Linked DNA regions of Pelodiscus sinensis. The protein of the gene in region 4 binds, or shares a complex with, the protein of the main gene of each other region. Links are inferred from orthologs where the notes say so. Each region holds a gene or a part of one and is shown on either strand. Other genes may lie near its edges.

Region 1 (7,554 bases), about 810 kb from region 4:
CGCTTGCATGGAAGCAAGGGACTTCGACCTAGACGGCTCTGTGCTGCCCCAGCACAGAGACACAGAACTGCCTAGTGCTAGATCTCAGGGCTTCCCGTGCTGACAGGCCAGACCCCTGGCATGACAGCGCAAGGGGAATCTCCGTTAGCAGTAAGGGGCCTATGACACGCGGCCCCGAGAAGTTGGTGATTCCACCCTGCAGGGGGCAGTGATGAGTAGCTGGTTGTGCTGCCGTGGTGCCATTCACCCCAGACAGGGCCAGCGAGCGCTCGGTCTGCGGCATCCTCGGTACTTTGCCGGTGGGGAACCTGCAGGTGTCCGGCCCTGCTGAAAACCAGGCTGCGCCCTCACGCCCAGGGGCCGTTTCATGCTAGCCCACCCAGGCTGGGCCTGGTCTGCCTCTTGGCTGCGCCTCGGCGCCCGCTAGAATTCGTTCAGCCCACGCTGTAAACGTGGCCTGGTCTGCACCTTGAGATGCACGATCCTCGAGGACGACCATGGAGCAAGGGGCCAACCCCCCCATTGGCATGTCCGTGGCACCAGGGCCTGGCCTGGCCCAGCCCCGTGGCCGTCTGCAGCAGAGCCCACGCCCGGAGCTGCCAGCTCTCTGGGTTAACGCTGCCAGGGACCCGGCTCCTCCTCCAGGTTCCCTTCCAAGCCGCTGCCCAATTTCTCTGGCAGATGGCGAACGACACAGGTCTCTGGTGTGAGCGCAGGGCATGTGACGGGGAGACGCTGGCTTTCGGGGAGGGGGAGCCGGTGATGTGGGCGCACCAGCCAGCCAGCCCGGGAGGGTGGGTGGCATGTTGCGGGGGGAAACAGATGCCAGGAAAGAGAGAGAGAAGAGAGGCCCCAGCCCAGCTGCTATGCTGGGGGGAACGTTCCCTGCGGTTTCGGCTACTGCCAGTCCAGAGCATCCTCCCACGCAGCTCCCACTGCAGTGCTGAGTAGAGTGCGTGGGCACGGGCAGTGCAGCTGTGTCTGCTAGGGCCCACGAGAACAGTGCTGGTAGAATGCAGCTGTGGGTCTCGGGGGGACTCTGGAGGGAGCTGCACGAGAGAGAGAGAGCATGTGCATGCATGCGCTGCCCCCTGCTGGACTGAATCCGAATGACCCAAATGTGTGTCATAGGCCCCTATATCATTAATAACCAATGGGGAGACTCCTCTAGCTTAAGCCCTGAGCTCTGCCGTGGAATTCCCAGGGCGCCCACCGTGGGGGTGTCGATACTATTTGGCCTCCCACTCGCATCATGGTGTCCAGCCAGTTCAACCGGCCAAACAGCCGCCCGTGGCTAGCCGCTAGCGCATGGGTCACCACGGCTGTAGCCTCTCCCCAAGAGGCTGGTGGGTTGCGTGTCTGAGACAAGCCTGGTGAACCCCTTTCCCAAGAGCAGGAATCCAAGACAATGCCGCCAAATCAAGGGACCCAGGAGACCTGGCCCCTGTTATTAGCTGTCCCGTGAAATCTGCAGTGGGACCTAGGCCCCTGCGAGTGTAGTCAGCTAGACCAGGCGTGGGGGGGCTGGGCACAGCTGCAGGGCAGAGGAACAGACCTGGCCAGCTCTTCGGAGCCCCAATTCACTAGTCCCTGGCTCCTGGGCAGGAGTCGGTGGCCCCTCCCCAAATCACTCCGCCCACTAGGCGCTACACAGCAAAGGGGGCGGGGGCGTCAGCTCCTCAGCCGGCCTGTGCCAGGTTCCACCTGGGAGTGGATAGGCAGGACGCTGATTGTGCGCTTGGCCGTGGCAGGGCAATTCCACCCTGGCGTTGCCACCTCCCCTCGAGACGGGGACGCGAACAAACGCCCGCCAGGCTGTGTCCCTTCAGAGGCGCGGGCAGAGCTGTGAGCAATACCGGTAGGAAAAAACCAACGTGGGCGAAAACCAGCACAATCTTGCCACCTACACATAGACCTCCAAAGGGCCGTACGTGGGCTGCAGGTTGCCCACCATTGAGTTGCACCCTTCCCTACGGCGTAGAGAGGTGCAAAGAACTGGTACAAATACCAGCGTATTCCAGAAGGCTCTCCAATGTCCCTCCTTGCGGATAACCCCCGATCTTCTTCTTTCTCTGCATTGCTGTAGTGACACCCCACCGTGGCGCTGGGCTCTGTACAGACACCGAAAACGGAGCTAATCCCTCCCCCAAAGAGCTTACAATCTAATACAGGAGACAACAGATGGGGAGAGATGAGAGTACAAGAAAATCTCCCCTCCCGTCCCCCTGGCCTGGCTCTCACCCCCTTTCCAAGTCCCTATCACATCCACAGGGGTTTCTCCGTCCCGGGTCATTTTCAAATTACGATTGGATTTTTTTTCCCTACAAGAGCCCCCTCTAGGAATGATCTAGGCAAGATCCTGTGGCCTGGCCAGTCAGACTAGGTGACCGCAAGGGTCCCCTGTGGTCCTGGAGCTGACGGCCCTGATCTTTGTGGTTGCTGGAGCGATGCTTTCTTGGGGAAAAGAGGACGGAGTGAATTATTAAACACGTCTAGCCTCGTTAAACGTGCTGGAGCAGTTGGAAAGGACGAGAGAAAAGCCGAGCCCGGTGCCCCGGGCCCTGTCCGAACTCTGTGCAAACCAAGGCAAGTCCATCATAGAACCATAGAACCATAGAGCTGGAGGAGACCTCAGAAGGTCATCAAGTCCAGCCCCCTGCTCTAGGCAAGACCAATCCCAACTAAAATGGAGGAGAGACTGGTGAGGTTTTTAATGCCTCGGATTGTGAGCAGGTGCCGGCCTTCCTGCGTGCTTGGGAAGTGCCTGCCTGGCTCTTGGCACACACAGCCGTACAGAGCCAACTAGGCACTGTCAGACTGCGTCTCAACAGAGACAGCACGTGGCTAGCTCACTGCAAAAAGCCAGTTTCCCTCTTTGGGGGTTGGATGCACTCGGTTCGATTTTGGATGTTGCATGTCATTTCTACTGTCCTATACTGCTCTGTGTGGGCGTGCCTCAGTTTCCCTAGGCGCCGCACTGGTGCCCACACGGGAATGGGAGTTTTGGATGTGACTCTCCGGGAGGGGAGGCTGCCCCAGCCCCTCATGTACACAATGGCCCAGACTCACTGTAACATGAGCCTGGGAGGGGGTGTGTGTACAAACAGGTGACACCTTTTGCAGGGGAAGCTGGACAAAGGAGGTGGGGCTGCCTGCAGGGTGTGAGTTGGTCTGGCTTAGGATCCAGGGAGGGGGCCCAGGGCTCTGGGCTCCCCTCTCCCCAAGACGGATGGTGCCGGCCGCTTCTGGTCCTGTGCTGACACATCTGTGCTACGCTGTGTCCCTGTGAACCAATAACCCTTCTGACCGACCTGCCGGCGAAGAGTTATGTCTGGCTGTGGAGCGGGGTGCAGGGCCAGTGACCCCCACCCTTTTGGTGACACCCTCTTTTGCTATTCTCCCCTTCTCATCAACTGCTGGGCAGGGTTGTCCTTAACATGCAGGGACCCTCTGGTACGGTTGCCAGATGGTTTCAACAAAAATACCGAACACACTTGACATTCCATCACAATCTGCATTCCATCTTATTTAGAAAACGCCGGACATTTCTATTTTCTCATTTCTATTTTCTCAATTTGTTTCCCGAACAGAAAGCTCCAATACTAGACTGTCCGGTTCAAAACCGGACCCCTGGCAACTCTACGCTCTGCCCCTCTCCCCCCACCCCGCATCCCACCCCTTGCAGCCAGGCTGGGTGAGTTTCTTAGAGCTGTGATTTGATCATCTTCAGCAATGCGGTAATGAAAAATTTAAAACCAGAAAAAAAAAAAAATCCTGAAATTCCTGATAACAATGTTTCCCAAATGGGGTTCTGCGGAACCCCGGGGTTCCACAAAGTGAAAATAAGGGTTCCGCAAGAAAATTCCATTACAACCACATTTTATGATTTAAAGAAAAAAATAATATTTAAGCATTTATGAATTGGATTGAAAACAATTTTCATGTGTGTTGATCGCATGACCTTGTTTAGCATTTGTTTATGACGATCCTTACTTATTTGTGGGCTACTTTTTCAGCTCCATATATTAGACTGTTATTCGGGGTGCTGCAAAATTCTGCCCAATAACATGGGTAAAACCAAAAAAGCAGTCAGGTAGCACTATAAAGACTAACAAGACTATCTCATTATTCACAGAGCTACGTGGCTGCTTTTTTTGTGTGTTACCAAGATCAGACGCACACCGCTACCTCTCTGCAAATAAAATTGGGACCCTCTGCCCTATAGCTTGGAAAATGCCACTGCCCCTTCCACCCCCAGTCAGAGGGGCGGCCCGATGTCTGTGGATGGGACCGCCTCCCCCGCCGCCGCCGGCAGCCAGAGAGAGCCCCGCTCCTGGGCCGCCAGCCTCAGAAAACTACCGCTCCCAGCAGCCTCCGCGGCGCGCGGCGCGCGTCCAGCCAATCAGTGGAGGGCGTGTTGGTGGGTGCCAAGATGGCGGAGCCCAGGGCGCGAAGGAGGCGCTGTTTGTGAGGCCTGAAAGGTGAGGGGGCGGCCCCTGTCTGTATGTGGGGAGGGGGGGAGCGCCCCCCTCGGGGTGTGTGTATGTGGGGGGGTGCTCCTGGGTGTATATGGGGGGGCTGTGGGGAGCACCCCCGGGGTGTATGTATGTGGGGGGAGTGCTCCTGGGTGTATATGTGGGGGGGGCTGTGGGAAGCACCCCTGGGGTGTATGTATGTGGGGGGGAGTGCTCCTGGGGGCATATGTGGGGGGGGCTGTGGGGAGCACCCCTGGGGTGTATGTATGTGGGGGGGAGTGCTCCTGGGGGTATATGTGGGGGGGCTGTGGGAAGCACCCCCAGAATGTAGGTATGTGGGGGGGAGTGCTCCTGGGTGTATATGTGGGGGGGGCTGTGGGGAGCACCCCTGGGGTGTATGTATGTGGGGGGGAGTGCTCCTGGGGGTATATGTGGGGGGGGCTGTGGGGAGCACCCCTGGGGTGTATGTATGTGGGGGGGAGTGCTCCTGGGTGTATATGTGGGGGGGGCTGTGGGAAGCACCCCTGGGGTGTATGTATGTGGGGGGGAGTGCTCCTGGGTGTATATGTGGGGGGGGGCTGTGGGGAGCACCCCTGGGGTGTATGTATGTGGGGGGGAGTGCTCCTGGGGGTATATGTGGGGGGGTTGTGGGGAGCACCCCTGGGGTGTATGTATGTGGGGGGGAGTGCTCCTGGGTGTATATGGGGGGGGCTGTGGGAAGCACCCCCAGAATGTATGTATGTGGGGGGGAGTGCTCCTGGGTGTATATGTGGGGGGGGCTGTTGGGAGCACCCCTGGGGTGTATGTATGTGGGGGGAGTGCTCCTGGGTGTATATGTGGGGGGGGGTTGTGGGGAGCACCCCCAGGGTGTATGTATGTGGGGGGCATGGGGAAGTGCCCCGGGTGCATGCGTGTGGGGGCAGGGGCAGCACCCGGGTGTATGTGTTGGGGGGCGGGAGCAACGCCCCCACATGTAGATGTGCCCCTCCCTCCCTCAAGCAAGTTAAAGGGGTGCTGGTAGGTGATAGGGCTCACACATGCACATCTCTGTGCCCCCTGGGACTGCCCCACTGGGGCAGATGGGGAAGCAGGGTGATGGGGTTTCACACCTTCTCCTCTAGCCACAGGAGCCTGCCCCTTCCCACGGCTGGGAAGTCCAAGAGCCCTGGCTCCCTACCCTTCTGCTCTAAATGTTAGACCTCACTTGTTTCCCAGATCTGGGAGCAGGAAGGGAACCCAGGATTCTCCCCCCCCCCCCACTCCACCCACACCCTATGCTCTATTCATCCTGATGTGATTAGAACTTATGACCCCCTGCGCCCAATACTCCCATGAGCTGATCAGTGGGCTACTGTCTCTTCCTTATAATTAGGCCCCTACCAAATTCATGGCCATGGAAAATGTGTCTCTGACCATGAAATCTGGTATTTTGTGTGCGTTTATCCTCTACTGTACAGATTTCACAAAGGAGATCAGTATTTCTCAAACTGAAGGTCCTGACCCAAAAAGAAGTTGCAAGGGGGGGGGGTCATAAGGTTATTTTAGGGGTGTCATGGCATTGCCACCCTTACTTCTGCACTGCCTTCAGAGGAGCTGGGTAGCTGGAGAGTGGCGGCTGTTGTCCAGATGACCAGTTTTGATGGCAGCACCCTGGTAGCAGCCAGAAGAAATGGTAGCAATACGGTACCATGCTGCCCTTACTTCTGTGCTGCTGCTTTTGGCAGCTTTCATCCAACTCCCCAGCTGCCCACCTCGAAGGCAGCATCACTGCCAGCAGCAGTCCAGAACAAGGTAGCAGTACCACAACTCCCCCAATAATTTGGTGTCCTCTCACCCCCAAAACTCCTTTTCACATCAGGGGACCCCTGCAATCGCAACACTGACATTTCAGATTCAAATAGCTGAAATAATGAAATCTGCTATTTAAAAAATCCTGTGACCCTGAAATTGACCAAAATGGACCGTGGATTTGGTAGGGCCCTACTTATAATGGTCTCCGAGCTGCCGAGTCCTGGCTCCCAGCCTCTTGCATAAACCAGGTTGCACTGCCTTCTGCTAAGAGTGAATCCTTTGTTATAGAAATAAAAGGTGTGCTTGATTGACAGTGCCCCAGGAGAAGTGTTTGGGTGAGAGGGGAGTGGGTGAGAAATGCTGTTATGAACAAGCTGCTGTATCTTCTCTCTGCCTTTCAGAACAGAAAGATGAAGGTTGTCAATCTAAAACAGGCCATTCTCCAGGCCTGGAGAGAACGGTGGAGTGATTACCAGTGGGCCATAAACATGAAGAAATTCTTCCCTAAAGGAGCCACGTGGGACATACTTAATTTGGCAGGTCAGGATTTGGTTTTGTTTGACTGTTTGCGTGCACGTGTCTGTGTTATGTGCGTGGTACAAAGCGAGACACACATATCACCCAGATAAGCAAACTGCAGCAGTTGTATTATGTTTACCTGCATTTCTATGTCTGGGCTGAAAAACTCCCAAATAGAAATGGAAGGTCCAAAGACTTGTGTACATGTGGAGCCCTTCACAGGGACGACTCGTGCTTAAAGCCAAGCGTGTAAATCTTGGGAAGAGTGGAGTATATAGCATGATTGTTGGCTGCAACAACTTGCTCGGCTATTACTGACACCGAGAGATGCAGAATACTTTGGCGGCTAGAGCTATAAATTGGGACTAAAGAGACCTGGATTCTCTTCCAAGCTGGGCTGCTGGTTTGCTTGGAGACCGTGAGCATCTTTTTGTGCCTCAGTTTCTCTATCTGTACAATGGGGGAAATGATCCTGCGCTTCCCTTTAAAGAACTTAACGATCTGTGGCTAAAAAGTGCTGTGTAAGAACTAAGTATTTCTGTTGTTGTACATGTTAGGGTAATATTATTTCTTAATAAACTGAAAGCATCCTCCAACCCACATGTCATTAGAATTCATTTTTCTCACCCCAGTTCTAGAAGGGAAATTGACACAAATCCTGCTAAAAGTTGTTACCTGCTTGAGTATATGTAGGTAGAAGAAATTGCCAGGCTTTTCTGCCAATTATGGTAAGGTGTTGCTGGTTTTTCCTGAGTGGCAAGTGTGTGTT
Region 2 (7,963 bases), on a different chromosome or scaffold from region 4:
TTTTACAGGCATATTACAAAAAAAATCCCACCAAGTTAGAGGACAGGGACACACACAACAGGCAAACAGTGTTCAGCCCCGTTGTGGGAGGAAAAATACAGAAAACATACAGTGGATCATAATTATAACATAGCTGTCCTCTGATCCCATTACAACATGTTTAAAGTCCAAAAAGCATGAAAATGGCTACCTTGGTTAAGTGACCCCTTTAAAAACAATATGTACTACCCACACCTACAAATTTTAGGCTAAGTTTAGCTTTGCAAGCTATTTTGTGTTAAATAAAACATATCTGCAAACAGATGTTTAAATGTTATTTGTTATTGCAGAAAAAAATATTCGTGAAATCAATAAGATAGATTTAAGAGACCAAATTTGAAGTGGTATCACCTTATACTGTAGTATACCAAGTATAAAGGTATTTATACATCAGTTTGAATGCAAGCTCACTTTTAAAAGCAAACTCCATAATTGTATTTTTTTTACTTCACTGGCATTATGCATATAATTAAAAAAATATGCTGTTCTATAAAGTTTCTTAGTATAAATTCTTTAATACAAAATTTGAAAATCTAAACTTTGTAATCCATGGTACCTTATACCAAGAATTATATTATCTATGACAGACTTTGACAACGGGGCTACAATTATACCACCTAACACTTACCAAAACATATTAATTTCCTAACCAAAACATGGTGAATAAAGTTAACAGGTTTTTTTATTGGTCTTTTTTTTTAAAAACTAAGATTGACTGAGGTTTTGTTTTTATTTTACTGGTGACAATCTTTCCTGATACATTTGCTTCTCTTTTATTTACTGGTGAGTTTTTCTTAGTAATCAAGACTGGTGTACACAAACCACTGTTACCACTACTATATTTGCGGTATACACTGGTGATATAAAGGCACTGTAAACATTAGCATAAATGCAAGATTAAATAGTGTCATTTAGCTCTGAAAGTGGTTAGAAGTCAATAAAAAGCCAAAGGGGATGGTATTTGTTATAACATACACCCAAAAGCCTCCTACAAGGATCCCAATGTACAAACACATAGCAAAAGAAAACCTCCAACAAGAATATAATTCTTTGGAGATGAAGACAAGGTACCTGATATCAGGAACAAACAAACCAAAGGAACAAAAGGAAAAACTATGTAGCACTTTGAAGACTAACAAGATGGTTTAAGAGGTGATGAGCTTTCATGGGCCAGACCCACTTCCTCATATCACATTATTCCTCCCAGCTCATCTCTGCCTTCTGCCAGCCCCACCTCCAGAGATGAGCTGGGAAGAATAACAGGATCTGAGGAAGTGGGTCTGGACCAGGAAAGCTCATCACCTATTAAACCATCTTGTTAGTCTTTAAAGTGCTACATATTTTTTCCCTTTTGTTTTAGCAAGATCAGACTAACACAGCTACCTCTCTACTACAAACCAAAGGAAAGCATCAAAGGTTGTTCATCATCCGGGAAAGACGGAGGTTTACAGTTAATTACAAAACTATCATTACAAAGGCTAGCAATATGCATAACTTAAAGGTTCCAAGTTAAACATTTTAAAATGAGGGTTTTTTTTAAATTTCACATTCCTTCTCCACCTTTAGAAAAAAGTAAAGCTGTAATCTGTTCTTTTTGGCTGCGGAGGAAGAGTGGTTGGAGGGAAGAAAGAGGTGTTTCGGTCTGGTTTGGTTTTTTAATTTCCTCTCCCACTCTTCTTGTATTACCCTATTGCTCCCCATTTTATCTTCCTAGTTATCGTTCCCCTATAAACAATCCTATACTCCACCTCTTTTGGCTTGGGTTGCTACTGGGGACCCAAGAGTTCTCACCTTTACCTGACTAATGGTTCCTTGCAGCTGTGGCATACAAGAAAGCAAAAAGATCTTTTCAAATAAAATGTCACTAATCCGGATAACAAGTAATCGTTCTTTGTATTCATTTTAAATTAAGATTTAAAATATACAGTTTTTGCAACTGTTCAGTATGAACAACGGATATCATAGCTGCTGTAAGATTAAACCATGCCATCTAAGCACAAAGTGAAAGTTGTCAACCACCAGTGAGATGGAAGGTAACATAGATGCTATCAAGCAACTCAACGTTGCATTTTCAGCTAATGCTTTCCCTTCCAAGGCCAAAAAAAGTCTTTCATCCCTTTCACCCCCATCGGTGCAAGGGAGGCATGGCTGTAAACTCATAACGACAGCTGACGTTCAGACACAAGAAGCCGGAGAGCACGTCCTATAGATAATCACATTGCATGAACTGTTTACTGCTGAAACAGCGTTTGTCATTACGAAAAGGGGGGGGGGGGGCACACGCAGTTTAAGAGGCACAAAGCACTAGGGCATGAAGTGTCAAAGCAGGCAGGGGCGGGGAGAGAAGACTGTTTACCACAGGAGACGGTCTCACATGTGGGCAGCGCAGGCAACGGGATACCCAATCCGTTGCCTTGACATCTCCTATTCAGAGCCATGCAGCTGGGCGCGGGGAAGGCGCGCTCGCCGCAAACGCTGTTAAAGAGCCACATACATAGGGAGCGGAGCCGGGAGGAGGGGCCAGGCGGGGAGCAGCCCCCCCCCCCCCCCGGGTCCCAACTATAAAGCCCCGGCAAGCGGCACCGACCCAACCACGTTGCAACCCGGCTGCTCGAAAGAGCATCGGGGCCCCCTACGTGAGCCCCACGCCGGGCTCGGCCCCTCCGCGCTGCCTGCCCGCGGGGACTCACCAGCGAGAAGAGGTTGGAGTGACAGTCCTCCAGGCTGGCCCCGTTCGCCACCCAGTTCGCCGCCGCGGTCATGATCCTCGGCGAGCCCGGCCGCCAGCGCGGGGCATGTCTGTGGAGACGGGCCGGCGGCTCGGCACAAGCGCCCGGGGCTGCCTCCCGTCACAGGGGCGGCCGCCGCAGCCCTGCCCCGCACACGCGCCAGCCCGAGGAAGGGCCGGGGACCGGCAGGGGGCGCTCCCCGCGCGGGGGGGCCTCGCTCCGCCCCCCCTGCCCGACAATCCGCAACGAGCCGAGCGGGCGGGTCCAGCACCCGCAGCCCAAGCGCGCTCCGGCGCGGGGCTCGCCTCAGGGTGGCGCGGGCAGTGGCGCCGGCGGCTGAGGGGGGGCGCTGTCCCCGCCCCTCGCGGCGGGTGGGTGGTGTTTTCCCGCGGCCGCCGCCTCGTCCGCGCGCCGCAACTGCCGCAGGCCGGACAGCGCGCGCTGCCCCTGCCCGTCCTCGCCGCCCTCCGCGTGGCCCCGCGCGCCAGCAGCGACTCCTCCTCGCGCGCTCGCCTCAGCCGCTCGCCACTCTGACAGCAATGGCGGCCGCCAGACGCAGGGCGCCTCGCCATTGGCCAGCGCCGTACCACGTGGGCAGCTGCGAGCGGCGGGGGAAGCGAGCGCTCCAAGTCTGTCCTCTGTCTCTCCCTACACACACACGCTCCTGCTGCCTCCCAGACGCTCCACAGGGGGCGCACTCGAGCAAGGAATCTGCTGCCCGGGCGAGCTCCTAGCGCCTCCCGACCTAGCTCAGGCGCAGCACCTGGGCTCAGTCTAGACTGCAAGCCTCTTCCCAGAGAGCGTCTAGACTACAAGCACTACTTTCGAAAGAGCGCTCCCAGGCAGTCTGGATGCTCTCTTTCGAAAAAGCACAGTTTTCATTCCACAAGCCTTTCTTGCCACTTTAACCAGAAAGGACACTCTCTAAATGACTTAGCCACCTGCATTCTGCTACAAAGACCTTTTACATCTGCACTTGAAAGGGAATCCTCTGAACTGTCATTCATGTTAAAATTGGACACTTGCCAACAAGGACTTAACAAGACTTTGAACTTTCTCACCCATTACCAAGACAGTTTCCCCAATTATCACCTGTAATACCATTAACTCACAAACATCCCACTCTCCCTACCTTTAATATCAGCAATTCACAGACACTTACCTTCCTTCCTCCCCCTTCCCCCCCCCCCCCCCCCCGCATCCCCCTTCTGTTCTGCAATGTGATTTGTCCTTTTCATATTTGTTCATTTTTTTTAATTGTATCCTTTGGTATATATGGTTGTGACTACTTTCTTCCACTATTTGATCTGAGGAAGTGGGTCTGGCCCACGAAAGCTCATCATCTAATAAACCATCTTGTTAGTCTTTAAAGTGCTACATTGTCCTGCATTTTGTTTCAAAAAAAAGGCGTTCCTCCTCATAAAATGAGGTTTTCCACAGTCAAAAAAACTGCCACGCTCTTTTGTTTTACTTGCAAAAGCATGTGGCAGTAGTCTAGACTTAGGGAAAGTTTTTTTGAAAACAAGCCAGTTTTTTTAAAAAAAACCTGTGGTCTAGACACACAGCTAGTGCCCCCACACTAGTCCTGACTACAGTCAGGGAGAGCTAAGGTGATTCCTTGCTTCAAAGTAGGGCATGAGAGTAAGGCCCAGAGTGCAAAGAGTGCAGGTCATAGAATCATAGAACCATAGAGCTGGTAAAGACCTCAGAAGGTCAAGTCCAGCCCTCTGCCCTAGGCAGGACCAATCCCAACTAAATTGACCCAGCCAGGGCTTTGTCAAGCTGAGACTTAAACACCTCTAGGGATGGAGACTCAACTACTTCCCTAGGTAACCCATCCCAGTGCTTCACCACCCTCCTGTTTTTCCTAATATCCAACCTGGACCTCTCCCACTGCAACTTGAGACCATTGCTCCTTGTTCTGCCATCTATCACTACTGGGAACAGCCTTTCTCCATCCTCTTTGGAACCTCCCTTCAGGAAGTTGAAGGCTGCTATCAAATCCCCCCTCACGCTTCACTTCTGCAGACTAAACAGACCCAACTCCCTCAGCCTCTCCTCATAAGTCATATGCTCCAACCCCTAATCATTTTGGTTGTCCTCCGCTGGACCCTCTCCAATGTGTCCACATCCTTTTTGTAGGATGCCTTTAGCTGTGCCTCTTACCCTTATATAGGGTATTAATGATGATGGTACTAGAAGATATACACCTATGTTACTGCTCTGTTTTTGGAAGTAATAGTTACAGCAGGGGTGGCCAATAATGTTTGATGGGGGAGGAGGGCACTCCAAGAATTTGGGAACTGTTTGAGGGCTGCATTCTTCCATGATATTAATGGAGGAGGTGTGGGGTCTGGGATGGATGGTTACATGGCACTCTCCGACACACAAAAATGTCACATTGCTCCTCACTTTTCACCTATGATGTGACAGAAAAAAATCGTAATTTTTATTTTTGTTGTACATTGGAGAGAAATGCAAAAGGGAGCTTGTAGTAAGGGAGGGAGTTTGGATGAAGGAGGCTGTTGTGACCTGGGGCAGTGGACTGGGGTACAGGGGGTTGGATTGTGACCTAGGGCAGGGAATTGGGATACAGGAGGAAGCGCAGGAATTTGGGTTGTGAGATAGGGCAGGAGGGGACTGTGATCTGGGGCAGGGGATTGGGGTGCCTAATCTGGGAGGGGGTATGGGTGCGGGAGATGGGAAGAGGATTTAGTTATGCAGAGTAGGATGGCAAGAGTTGGGGACAGAGGTTGGGGAATGAAGGGGCTGGGGTGCCAGAGGCAGGCTTTGGCTAGGAGACTTACTAGCCAGCAGACCATTTCTGAATTAGCCTCCCTGCCTGCCCCACCCCAACACAGGCTGCAGCCATGTGCTCTGTGAATAACTATGAGCCCCTTGTTCTTTGTGGCTGCCTGTTATTAAAACCAGTTTCTGGCCAAAAGTCAGCCAATGGGATTGTGCTGGGGTCACAAGCAGCTCCTAAAGCTGCCTTCCCCTCCCTTCTGGGCTCAGTTTTTAAAGTAAAACTGCCCCGCAGCCACGTGTCTGAGCAGCATGCAGGTGGGGCAAGGCAAGCAGAGAGCCTGTGTGGGGCTCACTGCAGCATCCGTGAGCCAAATCCAGTGGTTTGGCAGATCAAATCCAGCCCACGCGCTGTATTTTGCCCAGGTCTGAGCTATAGTCAGCTGTATTTTAATCCTTCCCCATCACACACTCTTAGGGGCAACAAAGGGAACAGTCAGCAAACAGCCTTCCTGAAACTTACTTGCTTCATCCACAAAATGGGGATAATACTTTCTAAGAAATCAACCGTGCTCCATACATGTTTCATCTTATTGCTGATACGCTCAATTTTCTTATTACGTTCTTTTACAGAGAGGGCTTATAAGAGCTGAATCAATCCAAATTCATTGCCTATGGTAGGGCTGGGTAAAATGTGTCCCAGGGCCCAGATCCAGCCCTCCTAACACTGTGATTTACCCCGGACTGTATCTGGCTGCCTTCTATTTCTATCCTGCTGCCCATGCCACCGAATTTCCAGGCTCATGGCTCCCAGTCATGGCGCTACCTTGGCAGGGGACAGAGCTATGAACCTTTAAATAGCTGCAGCAATCCATTAGCCATGAGGCTGGGATTTGGGAGCCCTTTTCTGTGTCTTTATTTCAAAGCCTGTGGCTCCAGACAACTCTGAGGGGAGACTAGTCCGCAGCCCTGCCCCTTCTACTCCAGGCCCCGCCCCTTCTGGGGGCGAGGGGTTAAGCCAGCTCTTGACTACATTGGAAAATTCATTAAGTGGCCCCCTTGCAAAATGTATTGCCCACTCCTGTTCTATGGCATACTGAGGGCATTAGACAGCAGTAGCATTTTTTAAAAAAGAATGAATGGTTACATGGCACCCTCCTACATACAAAAATGTCACATTGCTCCTCACTTTTCACCTGTGATGTGACAGAAAAAAATCGTAATTTTTATTTTTGTTGTACATTGGAGAGAAATAAATATGTCACTTGAACATATATAAATAAATTCAACGTTATTTTATAAATACAAGCTTCTCTGGGTGTCTACATTCACTGAAATAAAAACTGTCAGCTCTGGGAAATGCCAGGTGATCATTTAATATCTTAACTTAAATTTTTTTTTTAATAAACATTTCTCAAGTTCACAATGGCCCTTTGATACAAACACTGATTTGCTCAGGCATAATAGGACTAACTAATTGGATTTCTCATTGGCTACCAGAATATCACAGGTGTGGTATTAGCATTTAAGATGTGTGATTAATTTACATTCACTTAGCAACCCCCATTAAAAACGTAAGTATGTATTGACTGTGCAACAATTTTAAATGATCTGGTTTTCAGTAGGAAAGCTGATTTTTTCAGTCTTGTTTTTGTCAAAGCGTCAAGGAGGAAACTTCTTACATCGCATTTTATTAAGCAATTTACTTTTTTAATTAGTTTCAGTTGTAATGATTAGGATCTATTTTATAACACTAACAGAGAGGAATTCAGTGTATGTCAAGAATGTTTATTCAGAAGAGAACTTCTGCAACAAATCCATAGTTGCATACAGATCACAGACCCACATATGCAACTCTGGGTTTGGAACTTAGACTCCTGGTCTCCAGCAACAAAGGACCAACTCCACCAACAGTAATATTAGAGCTTGCGTCTTTTGTCAATTGCATTTATTAGACAGTTTACATTTTTAAATATTGGTGATTGGTAAATGTAAATCCAAGGTTTGTCCATAGGGTTTTTACCTCACTCAATTATGAGCATTTAAAAATCAGAACTACTACATTTACACTAAGTGAGGGGATGGGGAAGGACAGACTGTCATCTGCTCCAGTTGACTTCTCCCAGATAAAAGGGTCAGACTGTGTGATGGATAAGAGGAGTCTTGGCCAGCAGCCAGTGACCAAATGGGTTAAACTCAGGGAGCTAAGGGTGTTGGCAGGAAGCCAGAGGAACCAATGGAATACTGTGCTGAAATTTAAATTGTAAATGTATACCTTGCCATCTCTCTTTGTGCGGGAGTTCTAAGTTAGGAGCTGGAGGAAGCAAGATGAAATAATCAAACAGAATTACCATACCTACAAGAAATATTTGGCATAGAAATGGACTGGGCCTTGAAGAAGGGATCAGTATGGATCATGAGTAGAGGGAAAATGTGTATTTAGTTGTGAT
Region 3 (7,648 bases), on a different chromosome or scaffold from region 4:
ATCCTGACCAGTCATTGAAGGAAAACTATAAGTGGACTTGAACATCCCTTTTTATTAGAAGGATGGTGTCAGCAGTTCAGGCTTTTTATGGGGATACCCAGGCATTCCAGGGACATGGGAGTGAAAGAGAGGGAATGCTGTTCTCCTTATGTGTCAGCTTAGTATAACTTGTGAGGGATTTGTTTTGTAGAACATCAATTCTAATATTAATTGTGTAGATCTCATAAAGCTAACATGCAAGCCTGAAGACATACTACATGCTAGGTATGCTGTGGTAGCATGTAAATTATCATGAATGTTTATCTTTCTGCAGTATTGTTATTAATCGTTTTTCTTATTTATGCAGAGTTGAAACTGCTTTGTTTCTGTGTTAAACCAGTGATTTATTGTTTAAAGTAACACTGAGCTGGCAATAAATGGTGGTTCGGTGTTTATTTTGGTGAATGTAACTGACATTCTGTCTTGCAGAATTAACATTTTGTACTGTTACTAAATTGTGTACATTTTTGTACAGAAAACTTTTTTCAGTTTCAGTAAAACAATGGAAAAGCATTTTGGCTTAATTGTGATATGTTTAAGAACTAGGGTGCTGAGCTCCATGCTTGCTACACTTGCCAACCCCTCCCTCTCTCTGGCTGAGCCTGATGGTATCATAGTACTTGTTTTATACATAGACAGAGATAAGTGACTAAAAAATATTAAACACACTCAGCTACAGTATTAAGTACTTGCAATTCCGCAAGTATTCTCCATACCACCAAAGGACAGTATGTGAACAATCCCAGAAATGTAACACTTTTCATTGAGGCCGATCTTGGACACTTAGCACTTTTCAAAAAAGAAGACTTTTTGTCTAGCATTTGGCACATGGGTAGAGGTGTGCTCAAACAGAAATTTTTTGCAAAGTCTTTGATGGTCATCTAAGAGAGAGGTGTGACCCTAGACACAAAAATGCACTTTTGCACTCTGGCTAGAACTTTTAAGAGCAGGTTAGACAAACACCTGTCATGGATGGTTTACACCTGGGGTCTCAAACTCGCAGCCCATGGGCCAGGGCCTGCCGGAGTGATTGCACAATCCAGGTTGGGGAGGGCCTGTCTGTTACTAGCCCCCAAGCCTGGCCAATCCTGCCATTGTCCTGGCAATTACCTCCACCAGCAGCAGTCACACCCCCTCAGCACTCCCTGTGGCATCAGGAGCTGTAGGGGAAGTGGAGCGAGTGCACCCACCCAGTATGCTCCACTTCCCCATAGCTCCTGATGCCATGGGAAGCTCCGAGAGGAGGGGTTGGAACTGCTGCCATCATGCACATCAGGCACCCTGTGATCCTCACAGCCATGTACTCTGAGGACAGTGTGCCATGGAGGAAGGAGCGGGGGTTGGAGGTGTTAATGGACTGCCCCTCGCAGAAGTCTGGAGCTGGTTTGCGCAATCACTTATTTAGGGTTGGTCTGTAGGTGGGGAGTTTGAGACCCTTACTCCATCCTATGGAAGTGATGTTTAAGAATGAAGCATTTGGAGGGTAGAGAGAGACATATCCCAGCTCCTTCAAAACAATCTGATGGCCATGTGGAATGTCACTTGGGGTGATTTGAGGCTTTGTTTTGTCATGTAGTCAGTCAAAACCCAGCTCCTTATGCAAGCCCTAGCTACAGTATAGAAGAGGGACAGAGGTGTGACATTGGTACCATACTGTGGAAGATGTAATCTTTGGGTTATGTAGTGGTTCATTTAGAACAGTGGTTCCCAAACTTTTTGGCATCACAACCCCTTTTTGATTTTTGAGAAACCCTCACATGCTCTCCCTCCCACCCCCCTTTCCCATAGCAGCAAAACTTGTTGAGCAAAAAAATTTCCGTTTTGAAGTCTGCCTGGGACACTCCATCCTCCCCTAGCCCCAGCCAGCCTGAGCTCTTTCTGCAGTTTCTATCCGCTCCTTCAAAACAGGATGAGCAGCCTGGGGCTGGGACACAGACTCTCATGGGGCCAGCCATGGGTAGGGTGACCATATGTCCCGATTTTAAATACTCTGACTTGGTGCCCCATCAAGTAGTGAAATGTCCCGGAAAGCCCTGCTGGATATTTCACTACTTGATAAAGACACTGGCGTGGCACGGCAGTCTCCTCCTCTCCCCCGCAGCAGGGCGCATAGGGAAGCTGGGCCAGCTTCTGGTGGCACATGGCCCATCCCTCTCTCCCTCCCCCTGTGGGACTGCCTCTGCTGCATGGGGTCCTGGTTTGGTGGCACCACCTCCTTATCCTTTGGGCTGCTTTGGAGACCGGCAGTTGCTTTTGCGCAAAATCTTGCCACGTTTACACTGGCCGTATTTGCGCAAGAACACTGAGTTTGTACTGTACAAAATCAGTGGTTCTTGCACAAATATTCCGACGCTCCCGCTCAGGGATAAGCCTTCTTGTGCAAGTATTCTTGCTCAAGAGGGCCAGTGTAGACAGCCAAGTTAATTTCTTGTGCAAGAAAGCCCGATGGCTAAAATGGCCACCGCAGTTTTCTTGTGCAAGAGAGCGTCTACACTGGCACTGATGCTTTTGCACAGAAGCAAATCTTTTGCGCAAAGGTACATGCCAGTATAGATGCTCTCTTGCGCAAATATTTTTAACGGAAACAGCTGAGGTGTGTTCCAGTTGGGCAGTCTCGCTGGGACGGGCCTTGTGCTGCTGCTGCTTGACTCCAACTGGAGCTGGCAGTCTGCAGCACTAAAAATAGCACCACAGGGGGCCTCTGCTGCCGTCCCAGCATGCAGTCCTGCCCCGGGAGCGGCAGGAGCTGCGGGGGCTTCTAGGGCCAGACTGCAGGCTCCAGCCCTGCAAACTGCTTTCTGGAAGGCATAAGGTGAGGGAAGGGGCTGGGGAAGAAATAAGAGGAAGGGGCTTGTGTTGAGGGAAGAGGTGGGGGACCAAGGCAGGAGAAAAAAGGGGAAGGCACCAAGCAGCAGGATGGAGGAGAGAGAAATGCTAGGGGGCCAAGAGGAGACAGGAGGGGAGAAGTCAGCAGGGGTGGGAGACGAGAGGGGAGAGACAATGGGGGCAAGAGGAAGGAAGAGGAGAGGGGAGGAGTGTGTGCCTGGAGAAGAGGCATTGAAAGGAGGGGTGGGCATAAGGAAGGCAGGGGATGGAGCAAGTCATGTGTGAGGGCACAGAGGGGCATGAAGAGAACTGAGTCAGAGAGTGGTGAGGGGGTGGGCACCAGGGAGGGACAGGGGAAGGGGGAGGTACCATGAAAGCGCAGAGGTAAGGGAAGATGCAGGTGCCAGGAGATTGTGGGAGTGAAGCAGAAAGGCAGACACTGGGAGGGGAAGGACGGACACCAGAGGAGAGAGGAAGGGCAGGGGGGTAGAGGAAGGTGTTAGGAGAGGGGATGGGGAGGGGTAGCTACGGATGATCAGAGTGGGGCTAGAGGAGGAGTGGACACAGGGCTGGTGCAGGAGAAGGGGGGTAGGTCCCCAAAGGGCTGAGGGGAGTGAGAAGGGCAAGAGCTAGGACAGCAGAGGAGGGTGAGGGGTGGAGGGCAGCAGGCACCAGGGGAATAAGTGGGGCGAAGGGAGGGTGGGAGACATGTTAGCGGAGGGAAAAGGGAGAGGTTTACAAGATATTTAATAATAACTTGGTTGCCACAGTGGCACACATTGGCAGTGGCAGATATAGGGCAGGGCGAGTGGGGCAGCTGCCCCGGGCCCTGCGCTTCAAGAAGCCCTGCGCACGGCACATGCGCTGTGTCCAAGGGGGGGCCCCATGAAATTGTGCTGCCCTGGGCCCCGCAAAATCCTCATCCACCCTTGCACATGGGAACAAGCGCCCATGAACTCAATACTGATGCACAAGACAAAATTCACTCTGCCTGTGGGAGGAAAATCTGAGCGGGAACAGTCCCTCAGCCTCTCCCCTCGCGCTAATGCAATGCAAGTGAATGCTCTTGCAGTACAGTTGCATGCGGGGGCCAGACCCATCGCTACTGGGAGGACAGGGGAGAGCTCTTAGCGGGGTCACAGAGCCCCCTTCGCGTCTGCTCGCTTGGCCGTCGGGCCGGGCCGCACTGCCTGGAGGGGTGGGGCGAATGGGGCTCGGGGGCGTGGCTGACGTGGGCCTAACTTTGGTTCAGAAACTGTGGGCCCCACAGTGCTGGGCCCCGGGCCCTGGCTGCGTGGCGGCTGCAGTAAGGACCGTTCCCTCGCGCGCCTGCCCGCCCGTTGGGCGCCATTTCTGACGCGTGACTCTTACCCCAGAACGTTCTTCCCCCTCTCGCTAAGGAGCTGGGCCAGAGAACCAACTTCAGCCTCTTTGGGGCGCCTCGGGCAAGGCGAGGGGGAGGGGCAGCCCAGGGGGGCCGGGCGGGGTTAAAGGGGGGGGGGCATCTCGCGCACTAAACCGAACCCCGCCCCGCCGCCTCACTCCGCCCGCTTGCCTGCGGCGCATGCGCAGGAAGCCGCTGGGCCTGGGCGGTGGAGGTGGGGTTCGCGGAGCGGAGCTGGGCGCGAGGGAGCAGCCCGTGTAGCGCGGCGCCCTAGAGGTGAGTGGGGAGCGTGCGCCCTGCGCAGGGGGCCCCAGGACCCTCCCGGGCCGGTTCCCACGCGCCCCCTCCCTGCGCCGAGCCGCAGGCTGGAGCCGGGCTGCGCCGCTTGTCCCCCTCGGGCTGCGGGGGGCGCCCCCTCCCAGGCCCCTCCGCCGTGTCGGGGGGCTCCCCGCGCCTGGCCGGCCGCTGCAGTCATGGGCCTGGTTTCTTTGTGCTTCATCTAGGGAAGCCAAAGCCATGGAGGCCCCGCCCGTTACCATGATGCCCGTCACTGGCGGCACCATTAACATGATGGAGTATTTACTCCAAGGTAAGACGGCGGGAAGGTGCGTTTGATTTCGGGTTCCACAGGCCGCGAGGTTCGTCTGAACACGCCCAGCTTGCCTGCGCCCCAGGCGTTGCAGTTGGGGAAGAGGCGGCCATACCGCGAGAAGGTCCTTTTCTGGAAGAGGTTGACGTTTAGGGCTTAACGCTCCAGCAGCAGGGATCTGGCTCTGACCGTGCACTAACTCCTGGACTCCAAGAGGAACTCCTAGGGACCGTCTCCCCCTCCCCTTTCCAAACTCCTTTTTGGTGCAGGATAGTCCCTTAGTGCAGACTTGTTCTGGGCTTTGCTCTTGCCCTTGTAGTTTTTGGTTCTGTGGCAAATCCCTCTGAACGATTTGGTGATAAACTTCTTTGTAGTTATTAACTTTCTTGGCGTCTGTGTGCTGCTGTTGTAGTTACAGTGCAGCATGCAGACATTCAAAACCAGCAGCAGTGCACCTTCAGGTCCTTGATGTGTAGGGAGTGTGTTCAAGCAGTTAGAACTAAGTTATTTTCCTGACTGTTGTTTACTGTCTGATCTTGGGCAAAGTCATTCAGGTGTTGTACACCTCTGATTCCTTTTCTAGAAAATATAAAATAAGGGAATAATCCTCCTTTTGTAAAATGCTTTGAGATTCCCAGAGAAAGAGCACTGTGTATATATTTCCTGCAGCTTTTGCAGCCTCTGCTTTTTGAAAAATGAGCATTGTTTGCTTATTTGCTCCTATTTTTTAATATGGTGAGATAGTTTGGGATATCCCATGCACTGCTGGAAGTAACCATGCAATCTTTGTGACAATAGTAAGCTTTTCAGTGGTGAAATAATTATCTTGTTTTAAATCAGGAAGTGTTTTGGATCAAAGCCTAGAGAGCCTCCTTCACCGGTTGCGTGGTTTGTGTGACAACATGGAACCTGAGACGTTTCTGGATCATGAGATGGTGTTCCTCCTGAAAGGGCAGCAGGCTAGTCCCTTTGTCCTGAGGGCACGGCGCTCCATGGACAAAACTGGAACACCCTGGCACTTGCGCTATTTGGGACAGCCAGAAATGGGAGACAAAAACCGCCATGCTCTGGTGCGCAACTGTGTTGACATTGCCACATCAGAGAACCTTACTGACTTTCTGGTGGAGATGGGCTTCCGCATGGACCATGAGTTTGTTGCCAAGGGCCATGTGTTCCGCAAGGGTATCATGAAGATTGTAGTGTACAAGATCTTTCGCATCCTGATTCCAGGAAACACTGATAGCATTGAGCCCTTGTCTCTCTCCTACCTTGTGGAGCTGAGTGTTGTAGCTCCAGCAGGACAAGACATAGTGTCTGATGACATGCGAAACTTTGCTGAGCAGCTAAAGCCTTTAGTTCATCTGGAGAAAATTGACCCCAAAAGGCTCATGTAAAGGACTCAGCAAATAATCTAGTTCTAACAGCCTCTTCATGCAAAGACTGGACAAGAGTTTATATACCAGTTTCATTCTCCAAATAATGGAGGAGAGATGTCTTAATATTATTTCATGAGACAGGAAATACAACTATCAGAATCAGTAATACAGTGGAGCTGACTGCACGCTGTTGCCAAAAGAGGAATGTATTTTTTTCCCACTTTTTTTTTTTAACTTAGCAATCTTAGGTGTTAGTTTATCTGCTAGTGTTACAAATAAGATGAAAATTAGTTTTTCAGGCAAAAGGTGTTACCCCTTCAACAAATATAGATTTTTTTTTTTTAAAAGCTAGTTTCCTTAGTTAGGACTTGGTTTTCAAAACTGAACTCTCAAAACATAACTTACTTTTAAGACTATTTATTTTAGGTACTTCAGTAAACTGGGCCTATGAAAATAATCTGATCAGTTTCTCTGATTTCTAGTCAATTCCTTTTTCTGCTTCTTACCTATTTGTAAATGTCTGCAGAAGAAGCTTGTAGATATTTAAAAGTGGTATTTTAAAAAATTCTGTACATCTAAGGTTTTGTAAAAAGTCAGTTTTAGGAAAACCAAATTTCTGGGCACCAAATTTACATTACTTCATATTTCTGTTTTGTTTTTGGTTGAATACTTTGATGCCTGAGTTAAATCATAGTGAAATAACACCTGAATTTTGTGTATTACTATTAGCAATTTTTTCCTTCAGTTTTCTGCTGTGGTAAAATTGGGGGTCAATAAAAAAAAATTTGACCAGCAGGTGCACAGAACTCCTGACTGTTTTGATCATTTTGTTGTTAACCATTCTGAGATGTTTGTTTAAACAAGTCCTTATTCTGTGCCTCTGAGTTCTGTAGTCAAATAATAAGTATTTGTTACTGTAATTCCAGAAAAAGTCTTTCGGCTGACTTCTTTCAGGGCTAATATTTATGATAACGTACAGTAACTTTACAATTGTACTTTATTGAAAAAATTATCATTAATGCCAGTAAAGATATACTAGGTTAACTGTGAATGTTTCCTAACATGCACAGAGCAATCTTTTCACTTCCACCCTTGCTGTAGAACTCTGTTTTAGTGGAATGGCATACAGCAGTACAACAGTACAGTTAAGGATAGGTTCTGATGAAGAATATCACATTTAGATGAAACTGCACAAAGGACTTCTAGGTGGACAGTAGAATTATCCATGATGGAATTTGGCCAGAATAAATTATTCTTGGTGACTACCAAGTGCTTTGAGGTAAGCAGAACATCACATCCCAGCTGGCACACTGATACAGCATTTGCACAAAAACTGGTGTGGGCATGTGAGTGACCAATGAAGATGTCAGTTGCAGCTAAGGTAACTGAATAGGGAGTGCTACCAACAATTCTCAGTCTATTGAAGCTATATTT
Region 4 (8,147 bases):
TTTCCGGAAAAGGAGCGTCTACATTAGCAGGCTGCTTTTCCGGAAAAGCCCTTTTTCCGGAAAAGCGTCTGTGGCCAATGTAGACGCGCTTTTCCGGAAAAGAGCCCCGATCGCCATTTTCGCGATCGGGGCTTTTTTCCGGAAAAGACTACTGGGCTGTCTACACTGGCCCTTTTCTGGAACAGTGTTCCGGAATAAGGACTTATGCCCGAGCGGGAGCAGAACAGTTTTTCCGGAATAGCGGCTGATTTTGTACAGTAGAGTATCGTTGCTTTTCCGGAAATTCAAGGGCCAGTGTAGACAGCTCGCAGCTTATTCCGGAAAAGCGGCTGATTTTCCGGAATAAGTGGCCCAGTGTAGACACAGCCAGGTTGGTGGTGGAATGGGTCAGAGGTTCCCAAACCGTGGGGAACGCTGAAGGGTCCAATCACGAGGGGTCCAGTCCAGCAGAGGACGCAGGCGGGAATCTTTGTGGACAATCTGGACACTCAACTGTTGGGATCAGGTTCCCTGTTCATCTCATTCTGCCACTGTTACCAATTGGCCCATACCATGCTTTGCTGGGCAAGTAGAAGACACTCTGCAAGCAAGAAGCTGTAGGCTGTTCCCTTACTTTTGATAATCCTGCAGGACACAGCCTCTGCCTGCCCCAACCCATCAGTGCAGCCGCAGAGATCCAAGCCCCGTCTGTTTCCCCTGCTGGACAGTGTCTCAGCAGGGGAAGCAGACAGAGCCTCAATACCCCAAGGACACACCAAAGGGCCAAAGTCAGGAGGGGACTACTAATCATTGGATGCAGCATTCTGCTGCCCTCCTGATCCCAGCCTTTCATCAGGACTCCATTTGCTTCCCTTCATAGTAGGTGTGACAGGCAGGGAGTCAGTTCTCAGCACCCAAGACCACCCCAAACCCTATAGGAAATGAAAACTCCTCCTTGGTACATCGGCTGTGTCTAGACTGGCAAGTTTTTCTGCAAAAGCAACTGCTTTTGCAGAAAAACTTGCCAGCTGTCTACACTGGCCGCTTGAATTTCCGCAAGAAAACTGACTTCCTACTGTCTGAAATCAGTGCTTCTTACGGAAATACTATGCTGCTCCCGTTTGGGTAAAAGTCCCTTTTGCGCAAAGCTTTTGTGCAAAAGGGCCACTGTAGACAGCTCAGATTCGTTTTGCACAAAAAAAGCCCTGATTGTGAAAATGGCGATCGGGGCTTTTTTGCGCAAAAGTGCATCTAGATTGGCACGGACGCTTTTCCGCAAAAGCACTTTTTGCAGAAAAGCGTCTGTGCCAATCTAGACACTCTTTTCCGCAAACGCTTTTAACGGAAAACTTTTCTGTTAAAAGCATTTGCAGAAAATCATGCCAGTCTAGACGTAGCCATCTACTCTGATTCCTATATGTAGCAGGCATCCCTCCCCAATCCTGGGTATTGAACATCCACCCCATGGGTACTAGACATCCCACACAGGTGAGCATGTGAATAGCACATGAATGCCCAAAGGCATGCTCAGAAAAAATTTGGGAACTTTAGACAAACTGTATCATTCACTCACAGTATAATAGCAACTGAAGGGCATGTTTGATGAAGATGGCAACAATCTGGTCTATTTTATGCTACTCTCGTCCCAAGAAGATGTATAGTATTGCATCTTGATAAAAAAAGCAAGCTATTTTAATCAACAAAGCCTGGCATAGGAGGACCTGTTTCCTTCTATGCGGCATACAGGATCAAGTTGAAGCAACATAGCTTGGGTACCCACACTTTTTGTATGCCAGGAGTCCATGCAGCCCCAGATAGACCATCTCATACTAGACCAGTGACAGGCAACTAAGGATAGTGAGTGGCTCCATCTCAGTGGGCCTCAGATTGTCATAACCAAGACGGTCTCCCAGGCTAAGGTAGTGTTGCACACAGCGCTCACATACCTAGATTTTGCAGTGCAGGCCAATTAAACCAGAGCAGTGCTTTGACGGGACACAGAGGGAGCACACAGCTCTCTCGGTCAAGGTGGTGTGCAATCAGCATGCACTTCACATGCCTTTATTTTACATGTGTGTCACTTTAGCAATACCAGCAGGAGGGAAGCCAGTGGAATCTGGCCACCCTGCATGTGAGCAAGGGGTAAACAAAGTGTCTCAGAGGGTCAAGGGGGGAAACACACGTAAAACCCCCAAGATGGTTTAATAGGTGATGAGCTTTCGTGGGCCAGGCCCAATTCCTCAGACCAAATAGTGGAAGAAAATGGTGACAATTTTCTTCCACTATTTGATCTGAGGAAGTGGGTCTGGCCCACGAAAGCTCATCACCTAATAAACCATCTTGTTAGTCTTTAAAGTGCTGCATCATCCTGTTTTTTGTTTCCGCTACACCAGACTAACACGGCTACATCTCTATCACTGTAAAACCCCCAGGAGCTGCAGGCTGCCCACCACTGAACCAAACAGCTGTGCTGTCCTCAGGCTGCACCCAAGACGACACAGCAGCCGGTGCGAGGGACATGAAGCCCCGTGCAACCAAACACACCGGTAGGGCACCAGTGGGCGAAGAACTCCAGTGCGTGCGGGCTGCAGTGCTGTTTTATGAAGGGGGGGCGGCTCCTTGGCCCCCTCCCGTGCAGGGGAGCATGGTAATAATCGGGGGGGAGGGGGAGGGAGGAACTAAGTGGCCCAGGGCTAGGCAAAGAGCAGGGATCAACCCCCACCCTGCAGAGCTGAGGGGCTGCAGAATCTCGGGGGGGGTCTAGAATCGGGGGGGCCGCAGGATCTCGGGGGGTGAATCTCCCCCCTTCCCTAGAAGTCAGGGCGTCCCCTACTGGCTCCCCTCCCCCCTCCAGTGCGGGGCTCCCCTCCCCCCTCCAAGGGGCGAGCCCCCCCCGGCTCGCCGCCCCCCCAGCGGGCAGGGCGGGCCCCCGAGCCCGGACTCACCCTCGGCGCCCCCCTGTGCCGCCTTCATCCCGCGGGCCTGTGAGGGGCCCAGGAGAAAGGGCCCCGGGGCAGGCCGCAGGCGCCGGGCTGGCGCAGAGCAGCGACCCGCGGCCTGGCCCCTCCCGCGCGGGCCTCAGTCCGCGGCGGCCGCCGCCAGCCCAACGGCCATCGCCGCGCTCCAACGCGCGCGACACTTCCGCCTTCTCGCGGCCTCCCGGACGCCTCGCGAGCGCGGGACGGGCGTAGGCTCGTCCTCTCGCGAGACTTGGCGCCCCTCTTGGCAGCCGGGCCCGGCGTGCGGCGTTCCCCGGCCCAGGAGGCACGTGTGCGCCCATGCCGGGCCCAGCAGGGCCAGCGCGCAGCCCCGGCAGCTGCTTCCGGGAGGGAAGAGGGGCGGGGATTGTGCGTCGGCAGCTGGAAAAAAAAAATTTCCGCGCTGTAGCCGGAGTGTTGCAAACAAACAAAAAAATTGCAAGAAATTGACACAAATAGTTTAAAACAAAAACTTTTAAACGGCAAAGTTACATTCCCCCGCCCCTGCCTTTGCAAAATAGCAAAAAAATAAAAACTTGATTACTGCAGAGGGAAGTGCAGGCAAGCTGACATTTAAAAAAAATCCAAAACCCCCCAACCATCTAAGCGATTAAGCAGCACAAAATACTTTAAACGATGCCCGAGTCTTTTCTCGACCAGAAAGAATGTTGTCCTAACTTAAGTTCCTCATTGACTGTTTCAATTGTCACTTTACTATTATGAAATCAGGATCCCCGACATCAATAGGAGGCAGAACATTTCCTGTGTAAAAGGAGGTAGTGAAGAGATTCAAGTGTGTTACTAGGTGATGGGCAGGGGTTACAGAGGAAGCTGCAGAAGCAGCCCCTCAAGTCAGACCAGCAATGAAAGTAACAAAATTACTGGTACTGTCCTATTGCAAGCTGGGTTCCTTCCAACTCTTTAAATAGCTCAGTGTTGGCTTTTGCCACAGCTCAGCCGGTGTTTGCTGGAGCTGCGTGCACCCCCTTACTTTCTCCTCTGAGTCAGACTCCATAAAAAACTTACAGTAATCCAATCTGAATCCACTTTACGTTGTAAAATGGGACAAGAAAGGACTTGAGGGACTAGTGGTTTCATTACATATGCCAATTACATAACTCTGTACATACCTAATTCACACTATTGGTGTTGGCTACAAGGTAGATGAGGCAATCTTTTACTTCAACTTCTTGGTGGTAAGAGAACATAAATACATTGCCCTGATACTGAGATCCATAGGTCCTATACATGCCTACCACATCCTTTGATGTATTTCACCCAGTGCACTAAATGCTCTAATAACTATTTAGGTGAAAGGAGAAGTCAGTATGCTCTCCAAGTGAGCTCACAATTAGACAACACCAAGTCAGCAGTTAACTACATACTTTTCATAAAATTATGATTTATCTGATCTCTCAGTCCTCATCCTCAAAAGGAAGACATACATATATATACACACACACACCTTCAAAGTACAAGCCTCGGTCCCAAACCTCACCTTGAATGGTTTCTTGCAGTATATATTAAATCCTTACACCTATCAGTCCCACCTTGCATTTTACTAGGACACTCTTGAGTATGTCCCCCAGACCTAAAGAAGAGTTGTATACATTCAAACAACTGTCTCTTTCACCAACAGAAGCTGGTCCAACAGAAGATGTATCTAATATTTAATGTATTGCAGGTGAGGTAATATCTGATCCATAACTTCTGCTACAGGGATTGTTAGACAAAAAAATTAGGCCATACATTAATGGTTACAGTTCTAAACATACCTGAAGTGAGCTTTTCAATTTACTATAGATTTTAAATTTTTTCTCCCCAAAGAAGTTGTAGTTAATAAGCACCTTTACAATTAACAAAAATCCATGTAAAACAACATATATTTTCAGAATATATTAAGTATTTTTACATTCTTTTTATCCAGTAGTTATTTTTGCTCCTTTTCTTTGAGTTACATCTTCTGCAGTTGAAGATTTCTTGACCTTTGCAACAGATTGCTTTTAACAGAAGGCCTCAAAGCACTTTACAGGCATTTAAGAATAAAGAGGTCATCACTAGCACTCTAATGGGGGTAACAATACAAGAAAAAAATCTCAAGCACAGGGCATTCTACTGGAGGAAGATAAAGGGTCTAGTTCTTAGTAGGCAGTCCCAGTCAGGCCTAAATGCACAGCTCCAGCTTCCTGTAGCTTAAACAGAAAGATTCCCTTTTGCAGAACTCAAGACTAATGCCTGTTTCATTCCTATAGTTTCACAAATAACAGTTTCTTCTTGGGAAAGCCTGTCTAACCATTTTTTCCTCCTCCCCAACTCCAGAAGCACAACCTCTCTACACTAAAGACACCTAGCCTGCTTTTGTACCTTCCCTTTTTCTGGCCTGACTGCCAGTTAATAAGCCACAGCTGAAGACCCTCTTCCTGAGTGGTAGCTCAGGCAATTTTTATGAATGGAGTAGACTCTTTCTTTCTCCAAGGAAACCATGTATCCCCATTCAATGGCTAATTGTGCAGATGTAACTCACACACCTAGTGGGTGTAGTTCACTGTCCCAGTAGTGGCACTTAGACCACTTACAGAGAGATGTAAGAATGAGTGAGCTCTACAGCCCCAACTAAAAGCCACCTACCTTTATAGCTCAGGCTGTAGAAGCTCCTACACCAGCGGATCTTAACCTGGGGTGCATGCATCCCCTGGGGGTGCAAAATACCTTTTTGGGGGGTGCGAGACATGCCAGATTTTTATGATATATCATGTTTAAAGAATTGACCTACTTCAATGATTTTTAATAAGGGGTATGAGAACATATTTTGAGAACCAAAGAGGTGCAGGCTGCAGTAAGGTTAAGAACCACTGTCCTACACTAAAACAAAATACAGGTCTATGTATTTTGTTTCAGCTACACCAGACTAACACAGCTACATTTCTATCACTGTCCTACACTAAGCACTAGAGGGCCTAGGTTCAAATCTACCCTGTGGCAGTTGCACAAGATACATATGACTAGGGTTACCAGGTAGATTCCCCCTCCCCCCCCAAAATACCAGACACACTTGATCTTGGGCAGGGGAGGTGGGGCAGGCTGGGAGGAAGGGGGGCGGGAAGCAGAGCTGGGAGGAGGATTGGGGGCCAGGGGGATGGAAAAGGAGGGAGGGGGGACGGGAAGCAGAACTGGGGGGGATCGGGGGCTGCGGGGGCTGGATGGGAGGATGGGCGGCCAGAGGAGGGGGAGGAGCAAAGCTGGCAGGGGGGTGCAGCCACTGGCTGCAGCTGCAGTCCAACAGTCTGCACTCCCGGCAGGCACTCCCTCTATTTTCTAGTAGAAGCCGGGTGGGGGCAGGGGGAGTGGCTGGGAGCTGTTCCCCCGTCGGGCTTCTGCATGCAACCAGAAGCTCCCAGCTGGGAGGCTGGACCGCAAATGGCGCTGGGAGCCTCTAGTTGTGCACAGAAGCCAGCAGGGGGAGCGGCTGGGAGTCCGGGCCACTGCCCCTGCCCCGCCCCGCCCCACCTGGCTTTTGCACACAACCACAGGGCTCCCAGCGCCAATCGCGGCCCCGCCTCCCAGTCGCTCCCCCGCCCCCGCCAGGCTTCCGTCCAGTGCCCAGCTGAAAAATCAGAAAATACCGGACATTACACATTTCCAGTATTTTCTGAATTTTTCTACCGGACAGAGGGCGCAAATACCGGACTGTCCGGTAGAAAACCGGACACTTGGCAACCCTACAATGACTTATCATCACATACACGCCTGGACTTAGGGCAAAGTGAGCAAGGAGGCTGCATTGGGCCCTGTGCTGTTAAGTCCCTGCACTGCCTGGCACCCTCCTACTTGCTTGCTTCCCTTGCTGGGAGTTGCCTGGCCATGTGGTGCAGCTAACCACAACATGCTGCCTTGGGCTCTGCAAACTCATTGGCTGGGCCTGATCACATGTCCAAGTGAGGTAGTGAATACAAATACATGAATATTTAACCAAAAAAGTAAGGGAAATTTGTCCCAATAAAGCAGTAGATTTGCTGATTTACTACATATCCAAGGCTGTCTACACTCGCGGTGTCTTGCGCCAGAAATATGCAAATGAGGCTAAGCATGGACTATTGCAGAGCCTCATTTGCGTACCTAATGAGCCGCTATTTTAGCAGAAGAGGCTCTTGTGCCAGAAGGAGCTGTCTACACTGCTCCTTCTTGCGCAACAAAAACCCTCTTGAGCAATGCCGTTACGCCGATTACTTTTCAGGAAGAACGGCATTGCGCAAGAGGGTTTTTCTTAGCCAGATTCTGTCTCTTTTCTGTTTGGTTTGGTGAGAAGCAATTCCATTCCAGGCATATCCTATTTTCCTGGCACAACCAAACCTTTATGTTCCTTTAAACTCTCTTGGGCTATGTCTACACTCGCAGCTTCTTAGCCAGAATCTGGCTAAGAAAAACCCTCTTGCGCAATGCCGTTCTTCCTGAAAAGTAATCGGCATAACGGCATTGTGCAAGAGGGTTTGTGTTGCGCAAGAAAGGACAGTGTAGACAGCTCCTTCCGGCGCAAGAGCCTCTTCTGCAAAAATGGCGGCTCATTAGGTATGCAAATGAGGCTCAGCGATATTCCACGCTTAGCCTCATTTGCATATTTCTGGCGCAAGAAGCCGTGAGTGTAAACGTAGCCCAAGAGAGTTTAAAGGAAGATAAAGGTTTGGTTATGCCAGGAAAATAGGATATGCCTGGAATGGGATTGCTTCTCACCAAACCAAACAGAAAAGAGACAGAATCACCAGGCAGATGAAAGCAGCTGGCGAGGGGTGTGCCCCCCTCATATGAGACTGCCACAGCCCTGAGGCGCCCACCCCCACAGGGCCTTGTTAGGGAGGGCTCAAATTCCCCTCTCCCAATTTGTACAGGACACAGTTGGCTGTTCCCCTATGTCAGGGAGTGACAGGGAAGTGCACAGTTTGCTGCTTTCCTCACTATGCCTGGAGAGCACAGGGGACAGATGAACCTGCACCAGTCCCATCTATACCCCTCCCCCAGCTGTGCCCGCTGGAATTGCAGTGGACATGGAGAGGTACTTCTCATGTGGCTCCAATCTGTTGTGGTGAGAGAGAGCTGGGGTTGTCCTCTTTCCCCAGGGCAGCCTGCAAACTGAACCCCTCATCCCTAGCCCCACCCCCAAAACAATGATTCAGATGAAGCATGCACATTTTCATT

Evidence for each region.
Region 1: the proteins of MED1 (region 4) and MED24 are in contact, whole or in part, in a cryo-EM structure (PDB 8T9D), measured with the Homo sapiens proteins. The link is inferred for Pelodiscus sinensis from reciprocal best matches to the Homo sapiens genes MED1 and MED24. Residues at the interface, in NP_004765.2 of Homo sapiens: Phe375, Asn377, Gly436, Leu437, Gln439, Glu441, Ser453, Asn459, Asp460, Ser461, Leu462, Val463, Cys464, Tyr480, Lys481, Gly482, Asp485; in NP_055630.2 of Homo sapiens: Lys7, Ile10, Trp14, Lys15, Arg17, Leu47, Ala50, Met51, Ile52, Gly53, Pro54.
Region 2: MED1 (region 4) and MED13L share a complex: the UniProt entries of both Homo sapiens proteins name them as parts of the mediator complex. The link is inferred for Pelodiscus sinensis from reciprocal best matches to the Homo sapiens genes MED1 and MED13L.
Region 3: MED1 (region 4) and MED18 share a complex: the UniProt entries of both Homo sapiens proteins name them as parts of the mediator complex. The link is inferred for Pelodiscus sinensis from reciprocal best matches to the Homo sapiens genes MED1 and MED18.

What each region holds. Positions count from the first base shown.
Region 1 is NC_134739.1:11,073,305-11,080,858, forward strand, and holds the start of MED24 (mediator of RNA polymerase II transcription subunit 24), read left to right. Parts: upstream 1-4,330; 5' UTR 4,331-4,481; intron 4,482-6,667; 5' UTR 6,668-6,676; coding exon 6,677-6,806; intron 6,807-7,554. UniProt on the Homo sapiens protein: Component of the Mediator complex, a coactivator involved in the regulated transcription of nearly all RNA polymerase II-dependent genes.
Region 2 is NC_134725.1:12,063,773-12,071,735, reverse strand, and holds the start of MED13L (mediator of RNA polymerase II transcription subunit 13-like), read right to left. Parts: upstream 3,317-7,963; 5' UTR 2,802-3,316; coding exon 2,730-2,801; intron 1-2,729. UniProt on the Homo sapiens protein: Component of the Mediator complex, a coactivator involved in the regulated transcription of nearly all RNA polymerase II-dependent genes.
Region 3 is NC_134716.1:84,446,462-84,454,109, forward strand, and holds the start of MED18 (mediator of RNA polymerase II transcription subunit 18), read left to right. Parts: upstream 1-4,386; 5' UTR 4,387-4,525; intron 4,526-4,752; 5' UTR 4,753-4,765; coding exon 4,766-4,838; intron 4,839-5,678; coding exon 5,679-6,232; 3' UTR 6,233-7,648. UniProt on the Homo sapiens protein: Component of the Mediator complex, a coactivator involved in the regulated transcription of nearly all RNA polymerase II-dependent genes.
Region 4 is NC_134739.1:11,884,164-11,892,310, reverse strand, and holds the start of MED1 (mediator of RNA polymerase II transcription subunit 1), read right to left. Parts: upstream 3,145-8,147; 5' UTR 2,953-3,144; coding exon 2,925-2,952; intron 1-2,924. UniProt on the Homo sapiens protein: Component of the Mediator complex, a coactivator involved in the regulated transcription of nearly all RNA polymerase II-dependent genes.